Oryctolagus cuniculus: one gene and its partners. The protein of the gene in region 3 interacts with the protein of the main gene of each other region in a pairwise test. Links are inferred from orthologs where the notes say so. Each region holds a gene or a part of one and is shown on either strand. Other genes may lie near its edges.

Region 1 (6,345 bases), on a different chromosome or scaffold from region 3:
CTAGAGGTTACGACGCCCAGCAATGATGGCTCCAACACTGGGTCCCTGTCACCCAACAGGAGGCCCTGGCTCCTGGCTCTGGCCTGGCCCAGCCCTGGCTGTTGTGGGCATTTGGGGAGTGAACCAGCAGATGGAAGATCTCTCTGCATCTGTCTCTTTGCCTTCTAAATAAAATCAAAGTACACTTTAAAAAGACACCCAGCTCTGCCTCCTGACTCCAGGTTCCGGCGAACGCAAACCCTGGGAAACCGCGACGCATGGGCTCTGCCACCGACGTGGGAGCCTGGATGGAGCTCCCGGGTCCTGACTTTGGTCAGCCTAGTCTGCACTACTGTGAGCACCCAGAGTGAGCCAGTGGATGGGGGTTCTCTCCCTCTATGTTTGTCTCTCTCTGCCTCTCAAACAAAAGAAAGTTATAAAAGAATAAACTCAAAGAAGCAGAAATGAAATTTATTTTTGTACATTTTAAAAATTGCCATTTTGAAGACTTTTAAGAAAATATTTTTCTAATACTCAAATAAGCATCTCTTTGGTATAGATATCACATCGTATGTGTGATCTTTAACTAAAAACACTAATCAAGAACTGTGACCTTATGTGCTAAACAGAACTATCTCTGTCCATCCTGGCGTCCCCGATCAGTGGCCCACTGTGAGGCCCTGGAATATAGTTCTGTACAAATTCCTCATTTACAAAATTACGATGTCCTGTCAGAGATGTCTGCGAGTTCTACTAAAGAAGAAAAGTAGCTGACTGATTAAACATGTCACAAAACAACAAAAAGCAATACAAGATACAGGGTAAACAGAACATCGTCACTAAGGTCAAATATGGAAACAATGACAGCATTCACATTTGACGCACTGGCAACAAAGTAACCGTCCAGAAATACTACAGAAATCATTCACAGCCCTTCAAAAAGTAACAGCACAACGCCATTCACTGGATAAGGCACTTTCAAGACCGTGGTAAAACAGAAAAGCATCACGTACAAGAAATATTAACTATGAAAGCAGTTCACCGCAGAAATAAATGAGGAAAATGCGCACCCTTTCTAAGTGGGCTTTGGTTTCCTAAAGGCTTTTATAAAGCATCACAGAAGAGCAAAATTATTTCATATATTCTTAAAAGCTATCATCAAAATACAAATCTCCACAAAAAGAGCATGTTTCCCTTTAAGTCAATGACACTGTGGTTCAGCCTGTTTTTAGAGAAACAGTTACAGTCCTCGTGCTCAAAACTGCAAGGGGGGCCGGCGCCAGGCTCACTAGGCTAATCCTCCGCCTTGCGGTGCCGGCACACCGGGTTCTAGTCCCGGTCGGGGCGCCGGATTCTGTCCCGGTTGCCCCTCTTCCAGGCCAGCCCTCTGCTGTGGCCAGGGAGTGCAGTGGAGGATGGCCCAAGTCCTTGGGCCCTGCACCTGCAAGGGAGACCAGGAAAAGCACCTGGCTCCTGCCATCAGATCAGCGCGGTGCGCCGGCCACGGCGGCCAGTGGAGGGTGAACCAACAGCAAAAGGAAGACCTTTCTCTCTCTCTCACTGTCCACTCTGCCTGTCCAAAAAAAAAAAAAAAACACACAAAAAAAACCTGCAAGGGGGCGGGTGTTTGGTCTAGTGGGTAAGACATCATCAGGGTGCCTGCACCCTGCACGGGAGTGCCTGCTTTCACTGCTGGCTCTCGCTCCTGACTCCAGCTCCCTGCTAACATGGGTTCTCAGCATCAGCAATGATGGCTCAAGTAACTGTGTCCTTGCCGCCCACGTGGGAGCCCTGCAGTGAGTCCCCAGCTCCCGGCTTTGGCTACTGCAGGCATTCGGGGCGTGAGCCAGGAGATGGGGGCGCCCTCCCTGTCTCTCTCCATCTCAGACACAGATTCTAATCAGGAAGAAGAAAACAGGCTCGAATGACATTTGCCAGCTCATAGTCAACACTGACGCTGGGCGACACTGCTTTAGGTGCTGAGGATACAGAAGTAAAACACAGCCGCTAGCTCTAGAGAACTTAGCTACTGAAGCTCCTTCTGCCACCGGCGACGTCAGTCTTCAAAGAACCACAGCCTTCTCCTAAGAGGGCCAAGGAAAGGTGCGTTCTCCGTCCCTTATTGCCAGTGGTCCCCAAGATGCAGCTCAACTTCTAACACTGCTGCTCTTGGCGTCTTCTCAGAAACCGTGTGACGGTTCACCTGATCCACCCTGGCAGCGCTGTGGCAGCATTAACATTTGCATTTGCATACAGGAACCCATTTGCATACAGGATTCCATGAAATTTAGAGGACACAGGTACTAAAGCGTAAGCAAACACGGGCTGGCATCAAAAATAGTATCAGCATTCTGCTTTCACGAAAGTCACGAAAACCAAGCAGAATTCAATCACGAGAAGCCGTGCTGAGTGTACAGGGCCTGCTAGAAGGAGCTCAAGCCGTACATGTGGGACACACGTATCCACATGTGCAGATACCACACACGAGGAGCCGGGAATGGGTGCCCGGCCGTTAGCCCAGCACCTAAGCAGGCCGAGTCAGCCGTCAGACTTCAGAGACTCGTAGCCTTCTTTCAGGAGGTGCCGCCACGTTTTCAGGAAGCGCGCGTTCTCTGTACACTTGCAGGCCAGCTCTTCCACCTGCGCCGACACTGCCGACGTGGCTTCCAGAAGCTTGCTTAATGAAAACGCTGCCTGAGATGAGAAGAAAAAGCAGTTATTTTTAAAGCTGTCATTTTATACACAGTCGGAAAATGGCTTTCACATGAATCTGGTACCCAGGCTACTACACACTTCCACGGGCTGGCGCTCTGGTGGAGTGAGCTAAGCGGCAGCTGGTGATGCTGGCCTCCATGCAGAGGGCCGGTGAGAGCAGGTGTGTCGCTTCTGACCCAGCTTCCCGCCAGGGCACCGGGAAGGCACTGGGAGCCGCCCAGGTACCTGGGGCCCAGCACGCGCACGAGAGACCCGCACGAGTGCGCGGCTCCTGGCTCCGGCCTGGCCACTGCGGCCATCCGAGCAGGGAACCAGGGGACGGACAATGCCTGCCTCTCCCTCTCTCTCTGGCTCTGCCTTTCAAGTAAATAAATAAATGTTTTCAACATAAAAGTAGTAAGTTTTCAAACGAAAACATCGGCTGTTTGTAGAGAGCCTCAAGAATTACTGACTTGCAGGTCAGCTTTGAGGGCATCTGGCCCCACCGTCTGTGCGCCATGACCAAGGCGGTATTTTTATTTTCCCTGAAAACACCGTGGAGTCCCTGAACTCCGGAAAGCGATGGAGACGCCTCCTCTCCACCTGCCCTAAGTATCTGAAGGACTTCACCCTCGACGCCTGATGGTGCAGCCTCAAAGGCACCGTGCCACCACCCTGCTGTCAATCCTGACCCTGCAGGACAAGAAAAGCAGACGTCAGAGAGGAGCCACCACCGAAACCACACGCGCATTCAGAGAACACCCAGCCCTGACGTTAGCCTCAGTTTCCAAAGGTTTTCTGCACCTAGGATAAAACCCCGCACAGGGGCGCCTGGTCCACACTGGACACACGGTGCGCATCATCCATCCCGAGGACGGGGTGCTAGGGTGGGGCGTGCGTGCTGGCCCGCGGCAAGGCCAGGTTTCCCAGCAGACACCCAGGACAGCAGTCCAGCGCCGAGCAAGCCTCGCGCCGACCGCAGCATCGACAGCCGGCCCTGGGCAGGTGGCCATCGGGAGCCGCAGTGCAGGGCTCCGGCGGGACGGGCGGCGCGGGCCGCAGCGAGGTCCGGGGAGCCCGAGGCCGGGCGGAAGGAGCCCCCGCAGCCCGCCGCCGGCCCCGGGCAGGTGGCCATCGGGAGCCGCAGTGCGGGGCTCCGGCGGGACGGGCGGGACGGGCCGCAGCGAGGTCCGGGGAGCCCGAGGCCGGGCGGAAGGAGCCCCCGCAGCCCGCCGCCGGGCCCGGGCAGGTGGCCATCGGGAGCCGCAGTGCGGGGCGCGCGCGGCCGGGGTCGCGCCCCCGGCTCTCGCTGCGGGCCCCGCGACACTCACGTCTCCGATCTGCAGCTCCACCAGCTCCAGCCGATCCACCGCGCGGCCGCCGCTGGCGCTCGCAGAGGCTGAGGAGGCGTCCGAGGACGACGGAGAAGAGGGCGGAGGCGGGGGCGGCGAGGCAGCCCGCAGCTCCGCGGGCGCAGCCATGGGCAGGGGCCGCGGCAGCCGAACCGACGCCAACCGCCTTTCAACCGCTCGCGCCCAACACCCAAAGGCGCCGCCTTCTCCTTCCCGAAGGCCCGCCTTGTGAGTCAACCCAGGGCCACCAAGACGGAGACGGTTCGCTTCTGCGGGACAGCCAATCAAACGTCCGTCAATGCCCTTTGGGCGGCTTAGTGCAGCTGCGCGGAGCTCCCACAGGGCGCGGAGTGCTTGGGAGCAGAAGACTACAACTCCCAGGATGCCGTGCGCCTCGCGCCCCCTCCCACTGCCCCGCAGTGCGCGTGCGTTACGCTCCGGGCTGTGCGGGCCCCGCCCACCACGGCTGGACAAGCCGGAAGCGCAGGCCGAGTTTTCAGCCTGAAAGCGCGGGGCGCTCTGGGACTTGGAGTCCTCGCGCTTTTCCTGGTCTGCTGCTTGACCCGGAAGCCTGTGCTGGCCCGCGCGTCACGTGTGGCGCCGGCGCAGAGCGAGAGAGGGGTAGGTCCCCGCGCAGCGAGGGCGGTCGGCTGAGCCCAGAGGCGAACTTCAGCGGAGGCGCAGGTTCCTCCGGCCGGGAATGACGCCCCCCGCGGCCTAGGGTCCCGCCCCCGCGGCCAGCCGCCGGCCCTCGTCCGCCCGCTGTGTCCGGCCGCGAGTGTCACCGTTCCTTCGAACATGCTGGCGCCGCTCGCCAGGCGCTCCTGCCCGGGTGAGAGGGAGCTCGCGTGGGGATGGGTGGAGGGAAGTGGGAGAGCGCGGGCGAGGCGGGCCGGGCCGCCCGGGGGCTGGGAGCGCGCGCCCGCGGCCCGCGGCGGCGCGGGGTGCACCTGCTGGTGGGCCCGGCGCGCGGTGCCCCTGCTGGTGGGCCCGGCGCGCTCCCCTCAGGCTGCCCCAGTTGGAAGGACTCCTCTCTGGGTTAAAGGTCGGGGACGGAGGACACTTGTCAACACGTTGCCCTCGGCGGGCTCCCGGGCCGGGGGTGGCACTGGAACCAGTGGGCGCCTTTCCCCTTGGGGCGCCCCTGGGTGTTAGCCGTCCCCGCCTCCGGCGGGGTCTCTGCCAGGATTCCGATTCGTGTCCCGCCCGAGTCACCAGCTCTGCCTGGAGCTGGGAATGGCTCTGCGTGGCCTAAGTCAGTTCGGGGGTGTTCCTTGCTGCCGTTAGATACGACCCGTAAAATAAAAAATAAATAATAATAATAAATAAAATAAAAAACTTTAGCTTGAACAGAAGTTTTTACTTAAGAGAGCTTTGAATTCTGTTGTAATCGGCTCGGCTTGATTTGCTGAATGGCAGGTTTTGGTTATGGAATGCTTAAACACCTGCACACATTGCTAATGCAAGGGCGTGCTTGTAAATGTCAGGAGTAGAATTTTCTAAAGTTGGCTTCCGAGTATTAGGTTAGAACTCGGTCGAAGCTTCTGTTCCTCTTGTTACTACACCAGGGCCCGCTTTTACGTTTGTTGGAATATCCCGGTAGTCAGGCGCTGTCTGCTCCGGATCCTAATTTACCGCCGTCTTGGGCCAGCGCTAACCAAATCCGTTGAAAATGACTGTTTTCTCTGGATGCTGATTCCTGGCTTTCTTCGCGAACTACTGGCACCAGAGAGGTGCGCACGGATGTGCTGCTGGTGTGACTGATAGGGTGATGTTCTGAGTTCATTGGACTTTGTGCCCTCAGCGCTCTACCAGAATTCAGCCATGGTCCTAAATGTCCAAATCTCTAGTCAGGTAGCAGACTTACTCCAGAAAAGGAGCAAAGGTTGTGGGTTTTTATTTATTTATTTTTTTGTAATCTGGCATTGATCAGACTATGCCGCTTCAAATATTCTCAAGAGAATCCGCAGCCATACAATAATAGAATTGTAGTTTGTCTTGCTCCAGTTATGAATTTTCAGAAGTGATAACTTCTGTACGCCAAACTACAGTGCATCGTATACTAAATGTCCTTTTAAATGATAACAGATTTGAACTCTGGAACTGAGTTGTTCCGTAATTGCTTCACTTAAATATCACATTTATGCATACTTTCAAGACTTAGATAAGACTTTAAAAGTATTCCAGATACTGTAGTTTTCAGTGTGTGTGTTTACAAGTAGAGAAAATCAGTTTTCTTGCCACATTTTTTTTTTAAAGATTATCAAAAACAGGGGCCAGCAGTGTGGCACAGCAGGTGAGGCTGCCACCTGCCAGGCTG
Region 2 (6,445 bases), on a different chromosome or scaffold from region 3:
TGACCCCCAAGACGGCCCCCCCTGCCTGATGTTGAGCGGGGGCTGGGGCAGCGGGGCTGTCTCACTGGACACGCACCGTCCGTCTGCAGGGCGGCGCTCAGCATCTCGCGGCACTTGGTGCGCACAGCATCGCAGGTGACAGGCACCGGGGGGAACGTGGTCATCCTTGGGGTGGATGGCGTCCTGGGCAGCTCCAGCCTCTTGCGGCTGCAGAGAGATGGGCTGCCCGTGACCCCACCCTGTCCACCCAGTTTGGCGTTCCTGTGGGGTCTGCCCAGCTGGCCACAGGGGGCGGGTCCTGTGGTCCCCACCAGGTCAGAGCTCATCCTCTCAGGGCACCCACCCTGCTTAGGTCTGAGGCGAGGGCAGCCTAGGCAATCAGGAGCTGCCTGAGTGGAAAACGAGGCAGGGGTCATCCAAGGCCAGCTTCCTCTGACAGAGAAAGTGGGGCCGCCCGCTGCCCAGGCTGCATCCTCCGGCCCAGCGGGCACAGCCCTGTGGAAATCAGCGGGAGCAGGGGGCTTCCGGAGGAGCACACGCCACAGACCCAGGGTTCGGCTTGTGACCCACGCCCAGCTGCCAACCACTACCGTCCACTCTGATCAAGAGCCAAGCAGCCTCTCACCAGGACACCTCTGGGCTGCCCGTGTGTGCCTGGGCCAGGCAGGACGGGGGCTGCCTCTGTCCAGGAGGAAGGGCCAGCGTCTACAGACACCAGGCAGAGCAGGCCAGTGAGCATCCAGGTCCAGGACAGGCCCCAGGGTAGGCAGGCAGGGGAAGACCCAGAGCAGCTCACTGACCGCAAGGCACACCCAGCCAGGTGGGACTGGGCTGACCAACGCTTCCCCTGACCACCGCCCAGGGTCACAGCGGCACCTGCTCCCCAGGTGCTCTACCTGGGATCCGTGGCCTCGGAGGCGGCCTTGGAGGACGAGGCAGGCAGAGGCGCACCCCTCCCCCGGTCCCTGGCTCTGGCATCTGAAGCGTCTGCAGTTTCCGGAGAAGAGGCAGTGAGTGAAGGGGACAGAGGACTCCAGCAAAGCAGAGCCCTGGCCACCGCCTTCGGCCACGGTCCCGGTCCCTGCCCCAGCCAGGAGGCCACCACCCCAATACCCTTTCTTGCCTAGGGGGGGTCTCTTTGGGTCCACCCTCCAGCACAGAGCAGGCTCCTCCTGAACCCCACGCCTTGGGAGGCCTGCACTGGGGACAGCCCACATGTGTGTCGCATGTGTCCATTGGCCACACAGGTCACGTGGCTGCCTCACAGAGGTAAGTGCCCAGGACAGCCTAGGAAGGCTCCCCCTCCCAGGGCCCAGAGGCATGGCTGCTTTCCTGTCCCAGTGGCACAGCCCACTCGTACCAGTGCCCCCACCCTGGGCCACCTCCTGCCCCCCTGGCCCTGGGCACCTCAGCTTTGCCCGGCCCAGCAGGTTCTGGGGGCCCCAGCCTCCTGCAGCACCTCCAAGGCAGGCCCCGGTCCAGTTCCAGCTCCAGGCAGCACTGTGCCTGACAAGCAGGAGGCCAGCACCCCCTGGGCACCCCTCCTCCAAGCACAGAGCCCTCACTGCCCGACCCACACCCAGCAGCTTCTTCCACGACTTGATGAGAGACTTGGCCAGCGCGATGACCTCTTCGTCTGAGCTCTGCTTTCTCAGGGCGTTGACCGACATCCCCACACGAGTGGCCTGTGAACAAGCCGCCTGGGTCGGGGGGTGGTGGGGAGCCCCCAGGGGGACTCTGACATCTCCCAGTAGAACCCACGAGGACAGGGTGGGATATCGAAACGTCTCATTGAGAGCCAGAGCCAGGAACAGGCCTGTGCCCATCAGTGTGCCCTTGGACACTGCTCTCCCAGGAGCTGCCCCAGGCCGGGGGCAGGCAAGGACCTACCTGGAGCAGGTGCAGTGTGACGGGCATGGCCTTGAGTTCCCTCAGCAGGTCTATGGCACCCTCCTGGAAGGAGAAAGGGGGGCTTCCTAGAGCTCAGTGGACAATCCCACCTCTTCCTGCCCATAGGCCATGCCTCAGTGCCTCCACCTGGAGACACCAGGGCTCCGCCCACCAGCCGGTGCACCCAGGATAAGGAGCCAAGTGGCTCTGCAGGCTCTGTCCCTATGGTCCCGTGACCTTCCGTCCAGCATCCACGCAACAACCTCACCGTAGCCATGTGGGGTCACTGAACAAACCACAGGAGCACAGACGCCAAGGGCCATGGCCAGGTAGGGGAGGGCTCAGGCTGTCACACACAGGGGCATCTCCCCTCGGGCACCGCTCCTCCAGGCTCCCCAGGTCCAGGACCCTGATGGGTGTGGGCCCCACCTCCCTGCAATGCCTTGTGCCCAGCCAAGCCTCTGTTCCTTAAAGGTGGGACTCGGGGGGGCCAGCTCCCCCGCCCCCACTGCTCCCTGCGGGCGCCATCCCTTCAGTGCGGTGTGTGTCTCTCCGACCAGAAGGGCGGGGGTGACCACGCAGATCCCTCTCCCAGGCAGGCCCCGCTCCTGCGCTGTGCCGAGTTCGGATCTCCCAGGGCCGCGTTCCCACCGGCACTGCACACGGGGAAGCTGGCTCTCCCAGGTCTCCGGACCCCAAAAGGGGCTCTCAGCTCTCAGGTGCTGGCCTCCCTCCCTGTCCTCCCAGGGAGCGAGTCCTGCCCAGCCGCTCCCCTCCCTGTTAGTCTCCCCCAGCCAGTCTAGCGCCCCTACTTTGCTGCAGGCCTGGGGGGGTGAGAAAACAATGGGGTGGGGGTGCTGCTTCCAGGATGACTGACAGTCGGGCCCGTTCCTGGAGAACCCCATCCACAAGAACCCGCCCCACCCCCACGCGGTCCCGGAGCCCATGACTCAGCCGTCTGGGGCCGCCCCGGGAGCTCGCAGCCCCGGGGACAGCACAGGTCCCGTGCACGGAGCCGGTCCGCGGGATGCTCGCCCCCTCCCCACCGCGGCGGTGCTGGGCGGTCGCCAGGGGTGCTGCGGGGAGTGAGGCCGTTCCAGGACCGGCCCGGCCGTGGGGTCCGGTCGAGGCGGCGGCATTTGCCGCAGGCGCCGGGCCCCTAGGGGCGAGGACTCGGCCCCGCAGCCCGTGAGTGGGGGCGAGGGCCGGGGGCGGGCCCAGCGTGCGGCGGGGGCTCCTGGGCCGGGGGTCGGGCCGGGCCTCGGGTCTGCGGGGCGCAGGGGGAGGGCGGGGCGGCCCGGGCGGGGGTCCCTGCCCCGGGCACGGGGGTCTCCCGGCGTCCCAGGGGTCTCTGCCGGGGCTCTCGTCCTTCCCCGTGGGGGCTCCCGGGCCTGACGCGGGGCGGCGGCCTCGGCGGGGTCTCGACGGGGCGGGGGTACCAGCGGCCCGCGCCCCTCACCGCGCTCTTCTTGGTCACCATCTTGTCCAGCCTGCGGGCGATCCGCGCGATCTCCTCCTCCTTGCCCGTCATCGCCTCGGGGCAGCGCCCCCGCGCCCGCCTCAGACCGACCCCGGCCGCCGCCTCCGCCGCCGCCGCCGCCGCGGGCCGACCCTCGGCTCAAACCCCCGGCCCCGCGGCCGCGCGCTGCACCCTGGGACGCGTAGTTCGCGCGCGCCCGCCCGGCCCCGCCCCCGCCGGCCCCGCCCCGCGCCCGAGTGTGCCGACCTCGCCCCCGCCGCAGGCCCCGTGGAGACCCCGACCCCGGCCCCGCCCCCGCACTCACGGCCCCGCCTGCTGGGAAGGGTCCTCTGGGAGCGGCGACCTCCTGCGGAGAATTCGGGCCCCGCAAACCGCCCTGAGCGAGGGCCGCGGGGCGGGGCGGGCTGGACGCGCCCCCTGGAGCCCCGCCCCCAGGAGCCCCGCCCCCCGAACGGCCCGGGCCCGTTAGGCCGCTCCGGGTCCCTTCACGGCCGGCTCCCCCTCCTCTGTCCTCGAGCATCCCCGACCCCGCCAACCCTGCCCCTCGGTCCGTGCGACCACGGCGCCGTCCCAGAACCCAGCCTGGGTCGTTAGGGCCTCTGCCCGGGGTTGGCTCCCGGAGCTGCCCGCCCACACTGGGGAGCCCCACAGCCGGCAGGAGGGTGGGTTCCTCTGGTCAGGCTGATGGGGAAGGGGTGCCAGAAGCTGACCCCTGTCCCTGTACCTGGCGGCTCCACGCCCCGACCCCTGACCTGTGCCTGGCAGGGCTGCTGTTGGGGTGAGGCAAGCTGACTCACTGACCCGGATAAGCGAGAGACTGGCTTTTGCCACAGCTGAAGTCCCCAGGAGGGGCCAGACCACACAACACAGAGGGTGGCCCAGGCCCAGGAGAGTTGAGGAGTGCCAAGGTGCGGGGCCAGGACCGGTGCCTGCCTGCCTCCTAGTGATGGGGTGCTGGCGGCTGCAGAGAGCGGGCCAGGGACTGCTGGGGGCAGCTGGGCACACCAGGCCTTAGGCGCTCAGCGGCACTGAAGGTGGCAGGTGCGGGACTCACCTTAACCACGAGGAAAAGCATGAATTCCTTGTGGCTGTTCCCAGGTTGTATGGTGGGCGGACACCACACCCCAGTCTCCCAGGCCAGCAGAAGCTGCCCTGCCCGTAGTCAGGGCGGGGGTGGGCGTCCAGCCACGTCAGGGCAGCAGGGAGGATGGAGCCACACATCCTTCAGCCACCCTGGACGGCTGATGAGTGACCACACCCAGGAGCTGGCTGGGTCTTGTGGGCCAGTACTGGGGCCGCCTCGGGACCCAGAAATCATGGCTTCAGAAATCGTCCAAGCCAGACCCTTGTCATCCAGGTGGTGCCAACCACGCAGGCTGCCCGGAGAGGCAGGCCTCAGGGAGAGGGGTGGGTTCCAGCTGACTCGAGGGCCCCTAGATGCCCCAGCCCTGCATCTGGCGCAGCTGCTGCTGACACACCCCGGGAATTCCTGGCTTCTGGCGTCAGCCTCTTCCAAACCTGGTGTTTGCAGGCACTTGGGGCGTGAACCAGCAGATGGAAGATCTCTGTCACTCTGTCTTTCAAATAAGTCAGAGGGAGGGAGGGAGGGAGATGACGAGGACAGGCCTCCCAGGAGCACCACTGGGCTGTCAGAGGGGCCTGTGCAGAGACTGTGGCCTGGCTGAGGTGTGGGGAGGTGTGTGGCCTCAGGCAGCCCTGGGGCAGGTGCCACCTGGGGCCGGAGGTCAGGCCGCCCTCTCCAACTCTGCGGCTGGCTTAGCAGGGGTGGAGCAGGCAGAATCCCTGGGAAACCAGTCTGAGGTTCTTCGATCCTGCTTGTAATGTTTTAAAAGATTCCTTTGCACATTTATTTGAAAGGAAGAGTAACAGAAGGGAAGACAGAAAGAGCAAGAGGGAGAGATTTTCCATCAACTAGTTCACTCCACAGACGCCTGCAACAGCCAGCGCAGAGCAAGGCCAAAGCCAGGATCCAAGGACCCCACCCGGGTCTCCCTCGTGGGTGGCAAAGACTTGAGTCCTTGGGCCGTCATCTACTGCCTCTGTGGTTGCATCCAGAGCTGGGGCAGAAGCAGGGGCAGTGAACCATGGATGGAAAACTCCCTCTCCCTCTTTCTCTCCCAAATTCCAAATTCTGCATTTCAAATCTTAAAAAAAAAAAAAAAAAAAAAAAAAAAACGGACCACGACCACCATCAGCGCCACAGGTGTGACCCTGGGACCCTTGTCATCGGCAGTCAGAAGGACAGGCCTCAGGCCAGCCAGGATGGGTGAACACTGGTGCCCAGAAGAGAGGCCAGGAGGCTGGGATCCTATTTAGGGGTGCAGAGGGTGCCAGGACAGATGGGGGTGGCCTGCAGTTCACATCCAGCCCCCACTTTCTCCATGCTGTGGGGGAGGTCTGGGAGCTGTGGGGGGAGTGGGGGTCCAGAGTGCCTGGGTCTAGAGGACAGGGACCAGCCCCCAATGGGAAAGAAACATAGCATTCCTTCACTTCTGACAGAGCCGTGAACCGCTCCTGGTCAGCAGGCCGACCTCCTGGAGCACACAGACGGAAGCCACTTTGCACCCGCGGCCCCACCTGACGCCACACCTCGCCGAGTTAGTGAAGATACACTCAGAACTTGCAAATCTTAGGAACTATTTTCAGAAATGTGTTAGTGTGGGGCCGGCGCTGTGGTGTAGCGGGTTAAGCCGCCGTATGGCCGCAGGTTCGAGTCCCGGCTGCTCCACTTCCGACCCAGCTCCCTGCTGATGTGCCTGGGAAAGCAATGGAGGTGTAAGTGCAAACTCTGCTCTGTCACTCCCACAGGGGAACGTGGAGTCCATGGGGGCTCTCCCCTGGCCCTGCTGGCGTGGAAGTCCTTGTCCCGTCTCCTCCATGAGACCCCAGGTGCACCTGCTCCCTGCGTCGCCACAGGAGGCCCAAGAGGCTGAGCCCCGGAGGGTCCTGCCACGTCTCAGTGGGACCCCTGGAGCCTCAGAGGCTGCAGACAGGGAGACAAGATGTGACTCTGGCTTCATGGCCGGTCAGACGGGTACGGGCCGGTCAGTGGTG
Region 3 (6,438 bases):
GGACTCTGCACGCCGGTCTCGCCTTTGGCTTGTACTTGGTCACTTACTTGAAAGGCAGAGAGAGGGAGAGAGAGAGAGAGAGAGAGGGAGGGAGGAAGACGGAGAGGGAGAGAGATTCAGCCCCAGACGCCCACAGTGGCTGGGGCTTAAACCAAGAGCTGGGTGCTCAGGTGAGGCTCCCGCGTGTGCTGGGCGGCCGGGGGGACCCAGTCACCCTGCATCCTCACTGCCACCCCTGGGGTCTGCGCAGGCAGGGCCGGGGCCAGGAATCAGACCCAGGAGCTCCCCGGTGGGCGTGGGCATCGTGGGCACCGGCCTTGATGCCGGCCCGTCCCTGCCTTTTACCGCCAGTATTTGATCTATTTACAGTTGATGTAATTTTGGACACATTTGGATATAAACCTTCACCACTCTGTGTTCCTGTTTCCTAAGATTTAGTTATTTGAAAGGCAGAGTGAGAGAGGGATCGATCGATCTTCCAATCACTGGTTCACTTGACAGACGGCCAGAGCTGAGCCAGGCCAAAGCCAGGAGCCAGGAGCTCCATCCGGGTCTCCCACACGGGTGCAGGGGCCCAAGGACCTGGGCCGTCCTCCACTGCTTTCCCAGGCCACAGCAGAGCTGGATGGGAAGTGGAGCAGCCGGGACTCGAACCCGTGCCTACATGGGATGCTGGCACCACGTTGGCCTTCTTTAGGGACGAATGGGGGTATCTGGTACGACTCCCGAGAGCTTCCTGTATGGCCAGGGAAACGGAGGCATGGCGTAGCTTGTTCAAGGTCGCGGCCATGGAGGGCAACGTGGGCCAGGTCCCCTCCCTGGCCAGGGTGGCCAGTGGCTGAGCCCACCCGGGGACACGCGTGGAGCAAACGCAACCAAAACAGGGCGGAGGAGGGGGCTGCGAGTGCCCTCCCATGGGTCTCTCCTGCTGGACGGGGCGGCCCTGCGCTCACCACCCTCTCCCGTAAACACACAGGACACCAGGACATTTCGTCTCCAGTCCTCGGGGCCCCCAAGTCCCTCTGTCCCTACCCGTCTGGGGCTCCCAGAAACGTGCCCCGGCCTCTGGCAGGGCCCCCTGCGGCAGCCTGCACACGGCCATGGATCGAGCAGCTTCCCCCAGCAGGGCCCCTCTCTCAGCTCTTGGCCGCCGCGGGCTCACCGAGCCCCCCCCCCCTTACAACGGTCAAGCCCACACCGTGTGGTTTCCCATCATCGTTTCTTACAGCCCCAAGTCACGTCCACTGCCTGCAAAACTCCTACTCCAACCTCAAAACCCCAGCTAGATGGGGTTTGCCTCCCCGCAACCTCCCTTGCTCCCAAAACGAGCGCTCACAACGGCTCAGGTTCCTGCGCACGGAGGGTCCTTCCTATTCTTTACAAACACAGAAGCCCCGCGAGGCTGGGGGCGTCTGCCTCTGACTCTATCTCCTTTTTCCTTCCAGGCCTAAGCAGGACCTAAGTGGTCCCTGGGGTCCCAGAACACGGGCCACACCTGGCGGGAGGGAAAGTCTTTAAAAACTGTCAAACTCCGTAAGAATCCTGGTCCCCGGGGCTTTTCAGCAGAGGCGGCAGTAACAACGTAGCCAAGACGCCCGCTGGGAGCCTGGATCCCAGATCTGAGAGCCGGGGTCTGCGACCCAGCTTCTTCCCACCGGTGCGCACGAGCCAGGAGCTCCATCCGGGTCTCCCACGCAGGTGCAGGGGCCCAGCACCTGAGCCATCCTCCGCTGCTTTCCCAGGCCATAGCAGGGAGCTGGACCGGAAGTGGAGCAGCCGGGACTCGAACCGGGGCCCATAGGGAATGCCAGCGCTGCAGGAGGCGGCTTTACCCGCTATGCCACAGCGCCGGCCCCCCAAAAATTCTAAAAATTATTTTAAAAAATCCTTGTTGGGGGGCCGCGTTGTGGCGCCCGCACCCCAGGCGGCGGCGCTGGCTTCAGTCTCTGCAGCTCGGGACCGGTCCAGCCCCGGGCTGAGGGCCTGGGGGCAGCATGCCGGGCCCTGCACCTGCGCGGGAGATCCGGATGGAGCTCCCGGCTGCGGCCTGGCCCAGTGTCCATCTGGGGAGTGACCAGCGGATGGAAAACCTCTCTCTCTCTGCCTCTGAAGTACATAAAAAAAATCTTAGGAAAAAGTTCTTAAATGCTAAGATCATTCAAAGCGACGGGAGCCTGGGAGCTCTCACGGACTGGGGGAGACTGCGGACATCAGCCCTGGACATACCTTCCGACCTAACCCCTTCCGGCGGCTCAGCCGCGCGGACTGCGCAGGCGCACGAGAGCCCGTTTGATTGGACGTGGGCTGTGACGCAGGGCGAGCGAGCCCGCCTCTTCCTGCCGAGCCCCCACCACGCACGCGCGCACGCACGTCGGCCCCAGAGTGCGCCGCCGCCGCGAGCGCCCGTGCGTGGTGACGTCGCGGCGGCGCGGACGCCATCCCGGAAGCGCGAGCGAGGCTGCCAGATGTGCAGGTGCCGCCGCCGCCTCCGGGGCTGAGCTTGGGGCGGGGCGGGGAGCGGGACGCCGGGGCGGCGGGGAGCCGGGCCGGGTCGGGCGCCGTCCCCGGGCTGCCCGGGGTGGGGCGCGCCGTGCGGGGCGCGGGCGTTGGGGCCACCAGCGTTCCGACGGTGCGGTGTGACCTGGAGTTGGGCGTTCACCTGCCGGTGCCTCAGTTTCCCCGCTTCGTGTGGGCGGAGCCTGCGGGTGTAGACCCAAGCCCCGCCCCACCCGGGCTGTCTTTACCGGGGCGCGGAGTGGGGAGTTCAGCCGACGGTGTGGGCGACCCTCGCAGGGGTGGCTGGGAATTCAGTGCGACGTTGTGCAGTTAGCTCCGCCTCTTGCAGTCACGTGGGATGCCCTCAACAGGCTGGACCCCGTGGGGAAACACCTGCTCCAAGCTCCGCCCACAATCCACCTTGCCTTCACCGCCCCCCATTCCCATTTCCTGGATGAGAAAACTGATCCCTCCCTCCCCCACTTGAAACCGGGGCCCTTGCTGCGTGAGTTCCCTTTGGGATGTGCAGCCCGGAAGGCTTCCTGAGAGAGGCAGCCAGCGACAGGCCCGGGGTTGGAGCCTCTGCCCTGATCCCCGGACAGCGCGTGGGTGGCCCTGCTCTGCAGACAGTCCTAGCGCGTGTCCAGGGGCGGCGAGCCACCTGCCGGGGTCAGGGCGCGAGCAGTCCTGGCTCCCGTGATGTTTTGGATAAAAAGAATTCCTGGCTAACAGTGGCAAATAAGGCGATTTCATGGGGAAAAAATTGTTTTTATCAGCTGTCGTAGGAAGCAGCTGTCCCCCCGCCGTGGGCGGGGCCCGTCAGACGCACGTGCACCTGGGTGCTGCCCAGGGCCGCGGCCGCTCGGACCCTGGCCTGGGCTCGGGGGCTGTGTGACCGCCGAGCGCAGTGAGCGTGTGCCACATACAGTAGGCGCTCAGTAGGTGGATGCTGTGGGCTCCGAGTCTCGGCCAGCTGTAAATGGGGCTGTCTGTCATCTCGCGCGTGGGCCTGGCGGCCAAGCTATGCCAAGGTTCCAGATTTTTCCTGACCCTCCCACCCCCGCCCGCCGCTGCTGGGCCTCGCATGGTCTGGGAGGCCCAGCCCACTGGGGTGGGGTCCTTCGTGTGCCCGTGAGAGCGGGCACTGTCCAGGACGTCTGGGTCGTGGGGCTCCCAGTGCCTGGGACTTGCTAACAACAGGCGAACCCCGTCAGAGCCGGGTCTGCAGGGGCCGGCCCAGAGACCCCGGCGGGAGGGAGAAGGCGGCGGCGGCTTCCCTCCCCAAATGGCCACAATGGTCAGGGCTGGGCCAGGAGCCAGGAGCTCCATCCGGGTCTCCCACGCAGGTGCAGGGCCTAAGCACTTGGGTCATCTTCCGCCGCTTTCCCAGGCCACAGAGAGAGCTGGATTGGAAGTGGAGCAGCCGGGACTCGAACTGGCACCCACATGGGATGCGGTTGTCACACGTGGAGCCCTAACCCCTTGCTCCACGCCGCAGACCCCGCCCCCCCGTGGGGGCGACCCGATGAGGCAGCCTTGCCGCACGTGTTCTGTGGGGGCAGCAGGTGCAGAGGCGGGGGTGGGGGCTGGGAGGCAGCAGCAGCAGCTCCGTGCAGGCGCCCGGGACCCCGGGAAGCCGTACCGATCCAGAGCGCGCCGGAGCCCCCTGCAGTCTGTGTTTCCCGCCTGCTCCAGGCCGCGGAGGAGGAGGAGGAGGACATGGACGCCCCCGACTCGGCCTCCGGGGTCTTCTGCAGCCGCGTCCTGAGCATGGTGAACGCCGAGGACGTCAACGCCATCATCCTGGCCCAGAAGAACATGTGAGCCCCGGCTGGGCGGGGCGGGGCGGGGCGGGGCGGGAGCCCACTCCGGCCGCGCTCCTGATGCAAACGCAGGGAGCTGGATCTGCCTGCTGGCTCCCCTGGCCTCCTCCCTGGCCGGGCTCCTGGGCGGGGAGGCGGGGGGACGGCGGGACCAGAGGCACAGAGCTGTGTGGCGAGCCCCCCGGGGTCTCTTGGGGAGGGCGGCGGGACATACCTGCCTCCCACAGGCGGGCTCGGAGCCTGCCACAGCCTCACCCCGATTCCAGCTGCCTTGCTGGGGAGAGGAGGACCGGTGCATCCTGGGAGTGATTTATTTTCGTTCATTTGAAAGGCAGAGTGACAGCCAGAGGGGGAGAGGAGGTCTTCCCAGGGTGGTGGAGACCCATGCACGTGGGCCATCTTCCCCTGCCTTCCCAGGCCACAGCGGAGAGCTGGATGGGAAGTGGAGCAGCTGGGACTCGACCCGGCGCCCACACGGGATGCTGGCACTGCAGGCGGCCGCTTTACCCGCCACGCCACAGCGCTGGCTGCAGACTTGACCCTGGGGAAGCTCCCAGACGGGGCGTAGACAAAACAGGACACAGACCCCCACGGCGCCACATGCCAGGGCTGGGCCAGAGCACCCTGAAGCTGCCAGGGCCCCAGGGGCAGGCAGCGCCGTCACGGGACACCCTTACTGGGGCGCTGAGGACTGAATAGGAGCCTTCTCTCTGGCGCCAGGCTGGACCGCTTCGAGAAGACCAACGAGATGCTGCTCAACTTTAACCAGCTGTCCAGCGGCCGCCTGCAGCAGATGGGCGAGCGCTTCCTGCAGCACACGCGCGCGCTGGGCGAGATGAAGCGCGACCTGGACAGCATCTTCCGCCGCATCAGGTGGGCGCCCAGCCCTGCGCCAGCATCCTGGCTTTTTTTATTTATTTATTAATTAATTGGAAAGGCAGAGTTAGAGAGAGAGAGGTCTTCCCTCCGCTGGGTCACTCCCCACATGGCCGCCATGACCAGGGCTGGGCCAGGCTGGAGCTGGGAGCCAGCAGCTCCATCCGGGTCTCCCACGCGGGTGCAGGGGCCCCAGGGCTTGGCCACTGTCCACTGCTTTCCCAGGCCACAGCGGGGAGCTGGACCGGAAGAGGAGCTCCCTGACTGCGTGTGAGCTTGGCTGCCTGGGCAGCAGGGGGCGTGGCGGGCAGCAGACCCCTTTGCCACTCTGTACACAGACGGGCACAGGCTGTCAAGGCCCCGGGGGGCCGGCGCTGTGGCCTTCAGGCGAAGCCAGGGCCCGCAACGCCGGCATCCTGGCATCCCGTCCGGGCGTAGGTTCGAGTCCCGGCTGCTGCACGTCCGATCCAGCTCCCTGCCCACGCACCTGGGGTGGCCGCGAGAGCCGGGCCCTGCCACCGGGCGAGCGGAGCCGTCGCGGCCACTGGGGGCGTTCAGGGACCGGGAGGCCCGGGAGGCCGCCGGCCCCGCCCCCGGCAGCCACGCGCTCTCCCTCCTGTCCCGCCCGCAGGACGCTGAAAGGGAAGCTGGCGCGGCAGCACCCCGAGGCCTTCAGCCGTGAGTGTCCCCGGGCGGGCCGGGCCGGGGCGGGGCGGGGCGGTGGGCAAGGGGCCTCCCAGCGGCACCGCTGCCCCAAGGCGGAGCCTCACCGGGTCCCCGCGACCCCCAGGCAGGGCCGCGCTGCGAGTCTCCCCATTTCCCAGCCGGGACAACGGAGGCCCAGGGGCCCGGCCTGAGCTCACCGCTGCGGGCTCGCCCTCGGCTGCCACCCCACGTGGCTGCCAGCCCACCGCGAGCCCCGAGCGAGCCCCGGGTACCTCTGCAGAATGGGCCCGTGACAGGCACAGAGCAGGGAGCGGAGTCGGGCAGGGGCGGTTCCCGGCCCAGGGCCCAGGGGCCAGCATGAGGACAGAGCCAGGCGCGCCCCCAGGGCCCGTGCCCTCGCCCCGTCACAGCCTGGGCCTCCCCCCTCCCCCGGAAGGTGGGCGGGGCCGTGGCCGCGGTGGGCGGGCCGTCGGGGCCCCACCTCCGCCTCCTCTCGCAGACATCCCCGAGGCCTCGCTCCTGGAGGACGAGGAGGAGGACCCCATCCCGCCCAGCACCACGACCACCATCGCCACCT

What was found.
Region 1: the proteins of KXD1 (region 3) and C8H4orf46 interact in binary tests that used the Homo sapiens proteins (3 or more experiments, as listed by UniProt). The two-hybrid records come from large-scale screens. The link is inferred for Oryctolagus cuniculus from reciprocal best matches to the Homo sapiens genes KXD1 and C4orf46.
Region 2: the proteins of KXD1 (region 3) and TCEA2 interact in binary tests that used the Homo sapiens proteins (3 or more experiments, as listed by UniProt). The two-hybrid records come from large-scale screens. The link is inferred for Oryctolagus cuniculus from reciprocal best matches to the Homo sapiens genes KXD1 and TCEA2.

Annotation. Positions count from the first base shown.
Region 1 is NC_091439.1:138,686,143-138,692,487, reverse strand, and holds C8H4orf46 (renal cancer differentiation gene 1 protein), read right to left. Parts: upstream 4,400-6,345; 5' UTR 4,155-4,399; coding exon 4,005-4,154; intron 2,674-4,004; coding exon 2,518-2,673; 3' UTR 430-2,517; downstream 1-429. Other genes in the region: ETFDH (electron transfer flavoprotein-ubiquinone oxidoreductase, mitochondrial), read left to right, coding at 4,824-4,857.
Region 2 is NC_091442.1:142,671-149,115, forward strand, and holds the start of TCEA2 (transcription elongation factor A protein 2), read right to left. Parts: upstream 3,550-6,445; 5' UTR 3,422-3,549; coding exon 3,350-3,421; intron 1,954-3,349; coding exon 1,891-1,953; intron 1,686-1,890; coding exon 1,580-1,685; intron 988-1,579; coding exon 897-987; intron 208-896; coding exon 77-207; intron 1-76. UniProt on the Homo sapiens protein: Necessary for efficient RNA polymerase II transcription elongation past template-encoded arresting sites.
Region 3 is NC_091447.1:65,705,006-65,711,443, forward strand, and holds the start of KXD1 (kxDL motif-containing protein 1), read left to right. Parts: upstream 1-2,343; 5' UTR 2,344-2,473; intron 2,474-4,191; 5' UTR 4,192-4,215; coding exon 4,216-4,316; intron 4,317-5,039; coding exon 5,040-5,192; intron 5,193-5,826; coding exon 5,827-5,873; intron 5,874-6,360; coding exon 6,361-6,438.